Linked DNA regions of Mus musculus: region 1 is reported to be linked to region 2. The links are microRNA targets in miRTarBase. Many come from high-throughput screens and were not tested one by one. Region 2 holds a microRNA gene; the other region holds the end of a gene's coding sequence.
What was found. The annotated mature microRNA mmu-miR-222-3p reads AGCUACAUCUGGCUACUGGGUCU and lies in region 2 at 4,631-4,653, shown strand. An mRNA with a match to its seed (bases 2 to 7 or 8) in the 3' UTR can be bound and repressed. Matches are read on the target gene's strand: a 7mer-m8 pairs with bases 2 to 8, a 7mer-A1 pairs with bases 2 to 7 and ends in A, and an 8mer does both.

Region 1: miRTarBase lists Cdkn1b as a target of mmu-miR-222-3p. Seed matches in the 3' UTR shown: 8mer at 2,022-2,029, 7mer-A1 at 1,946-1,952 and 7mer-A1 at 1,867-1,873.

The regions. Positions count from the first base shown.
Region 1 is chr6:134,919,142-134,926,459 of GRCm38, reverse strand. It overlaps Cdkn1b (cyclin-dependent kinase inhibitor 1B), which reads right to left and starts at 6,059. Exons shown (of 3, transcript NM_009875.4): 1 at 5,066-6,059; 2 at 4,377-4,504; 3 at 935-2,217. The coding sequence starts at 5,540. The coding sequence ends at 4,386.
Region 2 is chrX:19,144,236-19,151,553 of GRCm38, reverse strand. Mir222 (microRNA 222) reads left to right here and starts at 4,583; the gene lies at 4,583-4,661. It overlaps Mir221 (microRNA 221), which reads left to right and starts at 5,166; the gene lies at 5,166-5,260.

The sequences.
Region 1 (7,318 bases), not on the chromosome of region 2:
ATTTTAAAAAAAGAAAGAAAACAAAAGAACAAATAAAAACCCTAGTAAAAAATGCTAGAACTACCTTGTTTATAATCCCCTTTGGGTATGGTGATATAAATGGTAGTATTTCAATGAATAATTTAAACCCAAATTTGGATTTTTCACAATTTACCCATAAAAATTTCTTATAATTTACTTTCTACCTTAACCACATTTTAAAAATAAGAGTGTTATTTAGAGAATTATTTCTGATCAACCTGGCTTTAAAAATGCTCCGTTTCTGTATTTTTTTAAGTAAAAAAAAAAAAAAATTATGCATCTCTGCTGAACAGATATGAAGACACAAGACTCTGTTTTAGTATTTTAACTTATTTTTCGGATGAATTTAACTATAATATAAATATTCAAAATTTGAAGAATTTATGTATGACCAATTTCATTTAACCTACGAGTATGGAAAAAACTTGGTTCTTAAGGATTTGTGTGTTGGGCTACTGTGGACAGGGCTGGTATGGTGGAAGTAAGGACATTGATTTTCATTGCCACTTCAAAAGTGTAAATAGAAAATCTAGAAAAGTCGTTCCATCACTTTCATTTTCAGTACTGCAGATGTGTGATCAGACTACACTTATGTAAGCCCCCCCCTTTGGTTCTCACACACTCATATCCTAGAAAACATAAATATTTTAACTAAATGGGGGCTGCTGACAGTCTTACATGAAAATGTGGCTTTTCCTCTTTCCAGTTAAGCCTTGTCTACCCATATAGGACTAAGATGAAAATGGCCACTAAGAATACCCACACCCCCCACCCCACCCCCATCACCCCCATCACCCCCCCACCCCCAAATCATCTGACTGAAATGTAGGCCTAAATGTAGATGTTTGCCTTCCCATTGTATCTGGGGCATGCCAGGCTGACTAGCTCAGGCTCAGTAAAGCACAGGACAGTTGCACTCAATAAATAACTACGGAAGTTTTCTTTATTGATTGCTTGATGTGTAACAATAATTGGCATCTTTTTCACACATTACAAAAATTATACTTGGCTCAGTATGCAACCTTTTAAGCACAGCCATACTATTTAACAAAGGCGGGGGGGGGGCTAGTCTATCCAATACAGCATTTACAAATGCACAAAACATGCCACTTTGGCTTGTATATTGTCTAGATTAAAAAAAAATCTCTTTTTAACATAAATAAGTTAGTATAATTTTCAGTGTCTTTACAGAGTTATATACACAGGCACACTTCCAAGTTTTTCTCATACACAGGCAATGAAGAAACGCTGTTTAAAGATGTAGTATCCATTTCACTTACTCTACAAGTGTCCTTTTTTCCTTAAAAAAAAAAAAAAAAAAAAAAACAACTTTCCTTGGGGGCAAATTAACAAGTAGGGTGAGAAACTTTGAATTAAAAATTATTTCATTATTTGTGTAAAGTTACAGACTTCTAAAAATATCCAAGGATTTAGGATTATGTTCACTGTGAAAAAAAGAAATAAGAATTTTTCTTAGCAAAAATGATCTGGGATAATCAAATCTAAGAATTCAGAATTCCCTATTATGCACCCCAGATTTTTGCCCAGTGTTACCTGGGGTAATTACTGCTAAACAATAAACTGGTAAATTCCAATTAAAAAAAAAAATTAAGCCATTTCTTGCTCTATAACAGAATCTTCAGAACCTCCAAGTGAGAATAAGCTTCATGTAGAAATAAATAGCAACCATGTGTAGCAATTATTCAAATTTTGATTATTTTAAAAATAAAGGATCCATTCTTACCGAAAGGGACACTACATCTTTAAAGAAAGGAATTCAAACCCTTCCCCCCCCCACCCCCACCCAGGTTGCTTCTCTTTATGCAAGTCAAATATTTTTCTCCTTGCTACAAATTGAAGCAAGTTCTTCACCCCCATGCTGACTCCTCAGCCCCACCCTGCCCTCCCATCCCTAACGTTTATGTGCTACAGAGTAAAAGATAAAAACTATATACACAGGTAGTACAACAAAGCAAATAAGGAACAACCTAATTGCGCAATGCTACATCCAATGCTTTTAGAGGCAGATGGTTTAAGAGTGCCTAAAATTTTAGTGTTATTGTTTTTGCTTTCTCAGTGCTTATACAGGATGTCCATTCAATGGAGTCAGCGATATGTATTTAAATTTTTTCATGTATATCTTCCTTGCTTCATAAAGCAGTGATGTATCTAATAAACAAGGAAATATTCTTAATTCTGCAAAAGAAACAAAAGAATTAGGGAGAAGACACTAGAGTAACATTGCCAAAGTACAGAAATTATTTTGTTGCTAGCTTAGTTAACAAATACTTCAGTAATGATGGATAAATACAGGCACTAAAGGTCTGAAGACTACAGGTATCTCCGATCCTATCTTTGCTGGATTTTTGTTCTGTTTTGTGTGGTATTAGAGTCAGGGTCCTTAACAAGTGGGCAATTTTGTGAAACCCTCCCATGCCCCAGGGGACATTTGGAAATGTCTAAGAGACATTTCTGATTGTCACAGCTTCGGGAAGAAGATTGCTACTGGCATCTTGTGGGGGAGGCCAGAGATAATGCCAAACATTCTAAAATGCACAGGACTGCCTACCACAACAAAGAATAATTTGGCTCAAAATGTCAACTGTGCAGAGGTTGAGAAACTCGCTCTATAAAATCTGGGTCAAAGAGGGTGAGAAAGAAAAGAAATTCAGGAACCATAACACATCAGAGTAGCATATTTTCGTAATCTTGAAAAATACCTGGAAATGCAATTATAAAATTATTCCTCCCCACCAAGTCGAGGAATGTTTACAAAATTGCAATTTCTTACTCATATGCAGCATATCTGCACGAGTGCTTTTGACTAGAGTCTTATGGTTGCTTGGCTAATAAATGCCTCTTTATCAGAACAGGCCAGGTAAAAATCCAGGCGGCTCATCTGAAAAGCTAGGCCAGAAGCCACACAAAGCAACTAAAGCTACAGGTGTGATGGCTAGTTAGAAAGAACTCCCATCCAATTCGACAACTTTATAGAGGGTATAATATGGAAAGTGACTCTAATGGCCATTTTCCATCTCTGAAAAAATGCTATGTCTGTAGAAGGTATATCATGACTTTATGATTTATAAACACAACAAGCTGGAACCCTGTGCCATCTCTATATTCCTTCATTTATTTTTAAATTTCAATAAATGAGGACCTGAAAAGTTAATAATAAACTGTTAAGATCTATTTGTATGCTGGGTTATAAGTGGGCTTTAGAAATAGAGAATGCTGGTTTTCTTCATAAGGAGCTTATAAACTATTATAAGTAGTTAGAGCATATGAATAGTCAATCTATGTAAATTTAGGGGCTGGGTTACTCTAATTAGGCAAGTGGGGTGATGAGATTTTTGACACATGGAAAAATCCACACTTGTGTTGGACCTTCTCAGTTGGTCCTAACATCTACTATCCATTTCCCCTATAAACATCCAAACCGTCCTGTTCCAGCAAATTAGCATACGGTGCTGACGTGTGGGAAGGCTGCTTCCTCTAGCTGTTCATTTAACTTCTGCTTTGTAACCTCAGGGTTAAAATCAATTCTGTGGGAGCATTAGTACTTCTGAACTTTCCAGTCTAATTTTTTTTTTAAGTATGAAGTTCCTTTCTCTCCAAAATTTACCAGCATACAAGGCACAACTTTAAAAAAAAATAAAAAAGTACCCAGAGGTGATGGCACACAACCTCTAATCTCAGCACTCAGGAGGCAGAGACAATACAGATCTCTGTGAGTTCGAAGCCAGCGTGGTCTACAGAGCAATTCCCAGAATAGCCCGAGCTGTTTGTTACACAGAGAAACCCTATCTCAAAAAACCAAAAACCAAAACAAAAGCAAAAGATAAAAAGAACTCGAGCCACGGCAGCTCTATTCACACTCCTAATCAAACGTGCACTATGGGTACCTAGTTTTTCTCTTAAGAACATACATGTAAGTATATATTTGCCATTTTTCTACAGTTCAAATGGTTCAAAATAGGCTATTGGCTCAAAACGAACCTCTGGGAAATGGGTTCTCATGAACTGAGACTGGAAAGGAAAACTGTCATTCCCAGCCTAAGTTTTAGTGGGATTCATAAGGATACGACCGTCCCTATCCTTTGGGGCCTTGGTGGCAAGTTCTTGCTTGGGAACCTCATTCTGATTCCACTTTAAGGTAAATATCTTGGGGTGCAAATACTGCATTATAGTCCCCTCAAGTGATTCCAGCCTTCCCCAGTGTTAATTTTTTTGATCAAGGAAAGTAATTCCTCCTGGCAGGCAACTAATCTGCCAGCAGTCCTGGGGTCTGCAGGCCCCCCGGGGAGCGCAGCCCAGATGGGGTGTCAGTTTTGTGTTCTTCCTCATTAACCCACCGGAGCTGTTTACGTCTGGCGTCGAAGGCCGGGCTTCTTGGGCGTCTGCTCCACAGTGCCAGCGTTCGGGGAACCGTCTGAAACATTTTCTTCTGTTCTGTTGGCCCTTTTGTTTTGCGAAGAAGAATCTAAGAGGGGGGCAAGGGGAAATTTTTAAGAGAACACACACAAACCATCTTTATTATCGACAACAATGGCTGACAGAAGTAGGCCCAAGGGATGAACAACCCACTCACTACCTCCACCCACGACCCCTGGACCCGTCATCCCCGGTAGCATCTAAGGACACAAAATAAGGTTGTTCCCACTAACACAAGGAGTATTCTACACCCCACGTCTCTTCCCCACCCCCATCCCCACCCCCACCCCCCCACCCCAGCCAAGGAGGAGGCAGTTGGTAAACATCCGAACTTTTGTCACGTATCTACAGCTGGCTAGAGGGGAGGAACTGTGATGCGTTCGGCTACGGAAGTTATCACATCTTACTATCTCCGGCTTCTGACTTCAAAATCATAAACAGGGCAAGCAGTCGGATAGGGGGTATGTCAAACCTAAGCTTCAAACAAGTTCGATTTCCCAGAGCTAAAGCAGAACACGCTGGAGAAAGCAAGTGAACAGGGTCTAGTAAAGGGGCGCTTACGGAGACAGACAGACAGACAGACATTTTAAGTTTTCCAAAGAGTCACTACCTTCTGCAGCAGGTCGCTTCCTCATCCCTGGACACTGCTCCGCTAACCCAGCCGGATTGTCTGACGAGTCAGGCATTTGGTCCACCAAATGCCGGTCCTCAGAGTTTGCCTGAGACCCAATTAAAGGCACCGCCTGGCGGCTCCCGCTGACATCCTGGCTCTCCTGCGCCAGCACCTTGCAGGCGCTCTTGGGGGGGCGCGGGGGCCTGTAGTAGAACTCGGGCAAGCTGCCCCTCTCCACCTCCTGCCACTCGTATCTGCCCTCCAGGGGCTTATGATTCTGAAAGTCGAAATTCCACTTGCGCTGACTCGCTTCTTCCATATCCCGGCAGTGCTTCTCCAAGTCCCGGGTTAGTTCTTCATGATTGACCGGGCCGAAGAGATTTCTGCAGGCGGAAGGCTTGGGGTGCTCCGCTTGTCTGGCGTCCATCCGCTCCAGGCTCGGGCTCCCGTTAGACACTCTCACGTTTGACATCTTCCTCCTCGGGCGGGTGTGGACCACCGCCTCGCCTCTCTCCGGAAAAAAAAAAATGAAATAAACAACAAAACCGAACAAAAGCGAAACGCCACGGATGGAGCGCAAAACCCTCTTCGAAGTTCTGCGACTGCACACAGACAGTCAAATGGAGCAGAGCCAGGCGAGCGACCGCCCGAGCCGCAGTAGCGCGCAGGTCTGGGGAAGAGAGGCGCAGGGACACCCCAGCCGCCGCGCAGCTCGAGGCTTCAGTGATCAAGTGTACTGGAGGGCGGGGAAGGGAGGGGAGGAGGCAGGAGGAGGTGGCAAACAGTCGGAGCGTAGGCTGGGGCGAGCCCGTGTGTCCCGCGAACGCAGCCCCTCTCCAAACCTTGCCGCCGCGCGAGTCTCGGAGCCGCGAGTGAGTCGGGACAAGGGATGAGGGGGGAAAACACCCCAAAAGCACGAGCCCCCCTCCTTTTTTAGTTGCCCAATATGGCGGTGGAAGGGAGGCTGACGAAGAAGAAGATGATTGACACTGCAAGTCTATTTAAACAGAGGAGGAGCTCCATTGGTCTCGGCGCCGGGAGCCGCTCCGCCCAGGCTGGCGAGCGCGCTCTTAAGGTGGCCCCGGGCGCGGCGCCGCCGCCTCTCCGCGCTCCCGAGCGCGCCGCCTCCCCGTAGCGCCGCCAGGACATTGGCTGGTCGCGTGACTACTCGGAGGTGTACGACTGCCAACAAACCTGCTCTGGCTGGCCCCGGAGAAATTAAAAATAAGACAAACAAACTAGCCAAACGGCCGGAGAGCTGGGGAGGGGCCAGCGCGGCGGCCAGGCAGGGACCCGGGGATCTAGGTCCCGGCGCTGCAGAGCTGCGCTGGCAGGCGCGTCACCGCTCCCGACTGCGACCTCCAGGTCTTTGCCCGCGAAACCTAGGGCCTGGACCAGTGGGCTCCTAGGTCGCTGGCGGCTTATTAGGAGCTTCGGTGGCTAGTTCAGCCCACCTGCATTCGCCGAGGTGGGAATGGAGGAGGGTATGCGAGAGATTCAGGAAACCTTGGCTCAGGGCCTGGGGCAGCCCACCCACCCCCACCCGGCAGGGTGCCTTAGCTGGGGTGCGGAATCGGCCGCTTAGCCTGACCCCAGAAGTCTCTGCTATGTAGGACAGGCCAGGAGGTGGTTTCAAAAAGAAGCCAGGACTGACCGCTCTTATCAGGGTGTTTCTGAATCCAAGCGCTTCCACCGTAGGATCTCGAGATTGAAAACCCCCAGTGCTCTCCCAAGCCTCTCTTTAGAGCCGTCCCAGACAGAAATCAGAAAAAGCCAGTTCTGATTTTCTTGGTTCCTAAGCACAGTGAAAGCCATTGCTATAGCGTGTGGGAACTCGCCTTTATACCCTTATGTTCTTTCCCGGGCGAAGCCGTTCCCTCCACCTGAGTCCAGACGCCAACTACAACAGTGCCTTCCTTCTCTTTTTTCTCCCACCAGCCTGTTGCTTCCAACCTACTCAGTACAATATTCAAATACAAGCAAATACTTTTAGAGAGCTGCAGGTTGTTAAAGGGCGAAAACACTTTCCTAAGGATCTAAGACTAGATTTGCAAGTGATTTATAATACCACCACCACGGTATTACCAACATCTAGTAATGTTGGGTGGGTTTTTTTCAGCTCCTTGGGCAACTTCACATTTCTCTATCACTGCTGAGCACAGTGACAGAAGTTAAAACAGAATAGCCAGGCCTGTCGTATCTCAGAGTTCAGTGAGATTTTAAGGGCTTTGCCCACTAGTATTCCCAAAC
Region 2 (7,318 bases):
ACAAAGTCCAAGCTAGCAGTTTTTGGAGGAACTGATTTTAGTTTTTTCTATTATTTACAGGTTCAGAAAACAATTATTTGATATCCTTATTTTCTTATCATTAATGGGATGCAAATAATTTTATTTCCCCCTTTTAAGGACAGGGGTTCTTCACTGCCTTGAACACTGCTGATATTATATCTAGAAACTGCCTTACATATTTCTTCCAGAGAGGAGGGAGGAGGGAGAAAGTGGAAAAAATGGATTTGAGGCAGTTGATTTCTAGAATTTTTCCACAAAAGACTGTGTATAACTCAGGTTAAAACTATCTTTTTGTTTTTTTCTCTTTCAGTGTATTTAGTAAGCAAAAATGACTTATGCTCTCATCCAGTAATTATTTTAGAAATGATTTTTTTTTCATTCAGAAGGATTAAAGGCATGTATCTAATTGCTAAATATTATTCTCCAAAACTAGTCTGAGTCTGTCTTTATTAATTGGAAGAGGTTTCACCTTCAGAAGCCTGTTGTAGGATCTTGTGCCAACCTGATTCCTTCCCAGACCTGTTCAGGCTAGACTAATTTGGCAGAAAATGTCTTTTTTAAAGTGTGTTGAACAGGAATGTCCCAGAAAATGTTCACCTCAAACTTCAAGCTGACTTGTAGAGCAATTTACTAAATAGAGAGATGTGAGGATCAAGTGACCATCAGCTGGTATAAATGTTTTTGGTCAATATAGTCACAGGACCTCAGGTATGCAAAAGTTAGACAGGCTGCCACCACTTGTCTGGTTATGGCGATCGCCTGATTCAAGTGCTCTAACGTAATGCAGAAGGAATCCAAGTTCACAGGAATGTACTTTAATTAGACACCTGTATTTAAAAGGTTGGTTTATGCTCCAGCATAATTTAACTCTGGGCATACTGTGTGTATATGAATGAATTGCTTCCCTAGTCTATACTTACTGTTAATTAGATTTTTTATTCTTCACCATTTGAGAGTCGTGTGTGTGTGTGTGTGTGTGTGTGTGTGTATGTGTGTGTGTGTGTGTTTGAACAGCTTTATTGAAGTATGATAAGCAAAAACAGTACATACTTCAGGTGGACAGTTTGATGAGTTTAGAAATATATAACATCTGTGCTGATATCATAATTCCAATCACCCATGATCAAGGTAATCACTAGCTTAGTGCTTCCCAACGTTTGTTTTTGTCCTCACTCTGCCCCCTCCCTTCCCCTCTCCATGCATATGTTTACATTTTAAAAGAATATTTAACATGAAGTCCTCCTAGTGGGAGATATTTTATTTAAATTAATGCCGACTTTGTTAAATTTATGAACTGTCTTATGCTCTTCCAGATCCATATATGTGTTTGTGACAGAAGTTGATGGCATTCTTTAGTTAATGGAAGGCTGCTAGCACATGAATCAAAGACTCATTCACACACGCACACACACTTGGGAGTCCCTTAAAATACTAAACTGAAAGCTATAATATGTATGCAGAGAACCTGGGGCACACCTGTGTAGGCCCTATGCTTGCTACTTCAATCTCTGTAAGCTCATATGAGCCTTGATTAGTTGATCTAGAGGGCCTTGTTCTGCTGGTATCCTCCATCTCGTCTCTCTCTTACATATTTTTCTGCCTCCTCTTCTGCAAGCTTCTCTGAGCTCTGAGGGGAGAAATTTGGTAGGGACATTCCATTTACAACTGTGTTTCAAGGTCTCTCTCCATGTTTAATGTCTGGCTGTGGATCTTTGGATTTGTTTCTGTCTACTGCAGGAAGCAGCATCTCTGGTAAAAGCTTAATAAAAAAGGCACTGATCTATGAGTATAGCAGAATGTCATCAGGATTCATTTTGTCACAGTGTTTTTTCATTATTTTAGACCAGGGGTATTTGGTTTTACCCTAGGTTTCTGGGCTAAGTCTCTGGTTCTGGTCACTCAAGTAGTATGGGATTTGGGTCCCATTTTATGGAATAGGCCTTAAATCAAACATTAGTTGGTTACTCCCACAAGGTATGTGCCACCACTGCCCTAGCATATTTTGCAGGCAGAACAGATTGCAGATCAAAGGTTTGTGGCTGGGTTGATGTCTATGTTTCTTTTTGGTAGCCTTCAGAATAATGTGTTATAGACACTAGAATATGGGGTGATGGTTCTATGTAGGTACTAGCTTTACCTCTCCATACTCAATGAGTTGTGTAGGTACTGTCTTCAGCAATGGGGCCTTGTCATCTGTTTTTTTTTTAAATTTTTTATTAGGTATTTATTTCATTTACATTTCCAATGCTATCCCAAAAGTCCCCCACACCCATTCACCCACCCACCCACTCCCAGTTCTTGGCCCTGGCGTTCCCCTGTACTGAGGCATATAAAGTTTGCACAACCAATGGGCCACTCTTTCCACTGATGGCCGACTAGGCCATCTTCTGATACATATGCAGCTAGAGACACGCGCTCGGGGGGTGAGGTACTGGTTAGTTCATATTGTTGTTCCTATATTCTTGGCAAAAGCCTGGATTGTTTTGTATGAGGATTGTATTTTCCCCTTCGGCCAACAACTCAATTGGATGTAACCTGGTTCCAGTACTGAAAGCTTTGTTTGATAACAAGAGATGACCACTTGGCACTGCATCTGCCCCCATTATTTGGAAACTGCATTTGGATTGCAACACTGCCCCTCAAATGTTCCTCAATTCAAGCTGTTTCTCTCTCCATATTTTGTCCCTCAACCATGCATACCCTTTCCTTCCCCACCCAATCCTCCTGTTCCTGCCCTACCCCCACCTCCAGAACATCCATTGAGTCTATTCTAATTCCTGCTCCTAGGGAAATCCACATGCCCCTGCTAGGCTCTTCTGTGAGTCTACAGGCTGTAGCTAAAATGGACTAAGATTTATAAATGATCATCTGTTTAACTGTGGCATTAGAAGTAACCAAACTAAACCCATGTCTCACTCGGTTAGCTTTATGTATAAAAGATGATTTAGGCATAGTTGTATAGTGTTGTGAGATATGCATTTGTGTGCTCTACAAATGCTTTATTTTATAGTAAGGGTAAGAGCTTGCCAAAACTGAACAAATGTTCTCCCCCCCCTCTCCATCTCATTATGCATGCTCTTTTGTAAAATATAGATAAGATTAGTTTATAACTGCTAAAGAGGGGGAGCAATCAAACAAAAGTCTACTTCCTTTGTCAGTCCCACTCTGTCCTCCCTCAAAGAGCAGAGCACACGGTGACTCCCACAAAATTGCTTGTGTTTCTTTACTGCTAACAATTTTGTTCTGAGCCACTTTTCTTTGTAGTATGCGTATGTTTGATTATCACTGTATGCTCCAGCTGCAAGTCTATTGAACTTGTTCTATTTGAAAGTTGGGAGCCTTTCTGAACTTTCTTTCTGATAATAAGCCTCTTAAATTTTTCTAAGTGGATGTTGCAGAATTTTCAACCACAAGAATACAGAACTCTAAGGTGTATATGCTTAGAGCAAAGTCATATGGTTATTTATATTAGAAAATGATCCTAAATATAGGGGGTGGGCAGCCATTGCCCATGGAAGTGAAATGTTGAGATCAAGTCGCTTATTTCAAATCAGACATTTTCCTGCTTTGGTTTTGGACAGTTGCCTCGTTCAACCCCCTAGGGTCCTTTCTCTCCCCCAGATATGTGTATGCATGCTTCTTGCACACTGCATGAATATCAAGCCTTCAGACACACATTTCTCAACTACCTTCAAAACAGTACAATTACTCTCAACTATTTATTATGTTATGGAATGACTCGTTTCTGCTGGATTAATTTCTTATTTTTCTCTACCCTTTTTGTAATCTGATTCTCAGTCCCAAATGTCAGGGGCCTGGGAAAAGATTCAGAAAAGTGTCTCAGTGAGTATTTTTAAGTATTTCTAGGAAAAATTAATGACTTGATCAACAAGGAGCTTACCTAGCTAGTGACTTAGACCTGTATTGTTTTGTAGAGGGACAGCTTAGAACAGACAAACTAATGAAGTACTACTTAGAATAGTTCCATAAATGCTACCTTTTAATAATTGTTTGTGTTGTCATCTATTGGATGGAACACAGGGCCCCTAATGAAGGAGCTAGAGAAAATACCCAAGGATCTAAAGGGGTCAGCAACTCTATAGGAGGAACAATGATATGAACTAACCAGTACCCCCCACCCCCAAGAGCTGTGTCTCTAGTTGCATATGTAGCACAGGATGGCCTACTTGGCCATCAATGGGAGGAGAGGCCCTTGGTATAGCAAAGATCATATGCCCCAGTACAGGGGAATGCCAGGGCCAGGAAGTGGGAGTGGGTGGGTTGGGGAGCAGGGCGGGGAGAGGGTATAGGGGGCTTTGGGGATAGCATTTGAAATGTAAATGAAGAAAATACCTAATAAATAATTGTCTGTGTTTTAGAAATTTAGGAAGTGAATCTAAAGGTAGTTAAGGTTTATATATATTCAGAGCACAAGAAAAATATGCAATTGAAAACTCTTGTATTGTTTCATTAATTTCTGTAATTGACATCTTTTTTTTTCCCTTCCAGAATCTCTCTTCAGAAGGCTACAAATTGTCTAACTCTCAGAAGGATTAGGGTGCCCTCAGTGGCTCAGTAGCCAGTGTAGATCCTGTCTTTGGTAATCAGCAGCTACATCTGGCTACTGGGTCTCTGGTGGCATCATCTAGCTTCAGTTATGGTACCCATAACAAGGTTATTGAAACGATAGCTTTCTGTAGAGCAACACACACATGCACACATAGGCACACACAGTTTTCAGATCATCTAATTTTCCATTATTCATTCATTCAGTTTTGGAAGTCATCCAGAGTTTGATGAAGGATGAAGTCAATTAACATTACAGAGAATATTTGAGCCATTGATTGGTTTTACTTCTTGTCTTCCTCTTTCCCCCATGAAGATATCATTTTCTATCCAGCTGTCTATGTATCATCTTCCTAAATGATATCTATCATGTCCCTATCTGTACTTCCATACATCTCTTGTCCTTTAATAGTCATTTTAAAAATAGCATGATGAATGACCACCAATCGAATTATTTGAGGAAATTTCACCTATTGGTAAGTCACAGGAATTGTGACTTCCATTTTCTTTTCTTATGGTAAATAAGACACATACCAACTTTGACATGTTAATCTGTATGGATAATTTGCAGGCTGAACATCCAGGTCTGGGGCATGAACCTGGCATACAATGTAGATTTCTGTGTTTGTTAGGCAACAGCTACATTGTCTGCTGGGTTTCAGGCTACCTGGAATCATTTCTTCATTGGCCTACTTATCATTGTTTTATCTCTAACATTTCTGAGTCAACTTTTCTAGGAGCCATAAATGAGTATGACTTATCTCATTGAAAAGAACAAAAGAAGGACCTCTATGAAGCTGAGCATCATAGCAAATAATGGTCTCACTGTGATTTCATCCAAAACAGTCTCACATGCCAGACTTGTCAACTGAAGAAACAGAAGAGAAGACAGGTCATATTATTATAAAATGTTTGGGTTTGCTATTTGTTATTGCTGACAGGAAGTAAATCATCTTAGCATACTGCTTCCGACCTCAGCATTTGTCCTCACTTTGGCTTCTCTTCCACCTGCAGGAGCCTGGTCTGTTTCTGTCCCTCCTCTGTCATTGTCCCAAAACTTATATGAAGAACTTTCCAGTCTGCATAGTCTCTGAACATTTTATTATGTTGCAACATCTCACTACACCATTTGTTCGCTGAAAGCATACCCTAGAATTTGACTGTCCACTACTGATGACCATCACTTAGGAAAACAGAGCAGCAGCTGTGTGATGGAATGACAAGCTTATAAAGAACTCAAGAATGGTTTTCCATGATGAGAAGAAGGGAATGGAAATTGCTTCTAAGAAACACAAGTTTTACAATGTGGGTTTTCTATTCTTTTGGTAAATAAATGGAAACTTAGAAATAATTTTAGACAGTAGCAATTCAGGATAAAATTTTCAGTGGATGAGTGGAGGTTTCAAGGGGGAATTTATTGTTATGTTATATATACTAGAGACTTTCATTAAGAAATTAAGTAGTTTACATTAATAGAAAAGGAATACAAGTGAAGCAAAAATCAATGCCTGTGTATAATTAATTGTTTAATAGTCAATTGTCATAATGTAATGAGTTTTTGTCACCTAGTGCTGAATCTAATGAAAATAAAGCAGATTGTACTGTCTGTTCTGTATGAGTTTTAGTTTTCTACCAGTTCATTCCATCCCCTGCCCAAGCCAATGGCCTTATAAAAAGGACCTTATAGTTCATGTATTTGACAACTTTTGAAGTGTGGTAGATAGCTCTACACATCATGGGTCTATTGAATTAAACTCATAGTTAACAAGTGGACAGTGCTTTATTTCATCTCTACACTCATGAAGCTCTTTGAATTCCTTTGTCTGTCACTAAACAAGTGTTGAGTGTACAGCCAGATATAAAGAGAGACCCAAGGTTTCATTCCTTCTCTGAAGTGACATAGAAGTACTTGATGGATTCCCAAAGCATGGCCAAATATAGTGATATGACAAGAAATACATATTGAGACTTCATGTACAGTCCCCAAAGCCCTCATACTTTACTGAGTGACAAGGATGTAAGAGGATCTTTTGTTGCATTTGATTTAGTCCTTATACAAGAACATCCTAGAACACTAGAGTCTAGAATACTGATTCAATCATTTCATATGCTAATAAAGGAGTGGTGGTACTGGTGGTGGTGTAGTTAACTTCCAGAAGTTGGCTAGATGCCAAAACCACCAAGATATGGTTAGTGGGTTAGACCCTTGTGCCTTCTGTTCTTCAGACTAAGTAGGTGACAATATTTTCCATATTTGTAGTATTGGGTATGTAACCTAGACATGTTTCCAAAGTACATTGAGCAATTATTACAACCCCCAGCTCAGTAATCATTTTTAGTCCATTTTTGTACAACTGTAACAAAATTTCTGAGACTTGACTGTTATTGAACAAAAATTATTTTCTAAAAACTCTGGAGGATAAGTCCAAGTTTAAGACATTGATATATATTGTCTGATAAGTAGTTTCTTGATGTTTACTCATGTGGTAAAAGGGAAAAGTGAGTTGAACACTTATCAAAGAATCCTATTCACCAAACCATAATCACATCTAGTCTATAAGGGTGGAGTGCTTACAACAGTCTACCTTCTACCTTACATAAGTATTTCCCATGCAGTTTCAACATCAATATTTAAAGGGTGCATATTTACTCTTCTGTCCCCATAACCCATTCATGTTCTTTTTACTTGTGAAATAAACTTAATTTGCCTCAGTAGCTTCTGAAATATTGA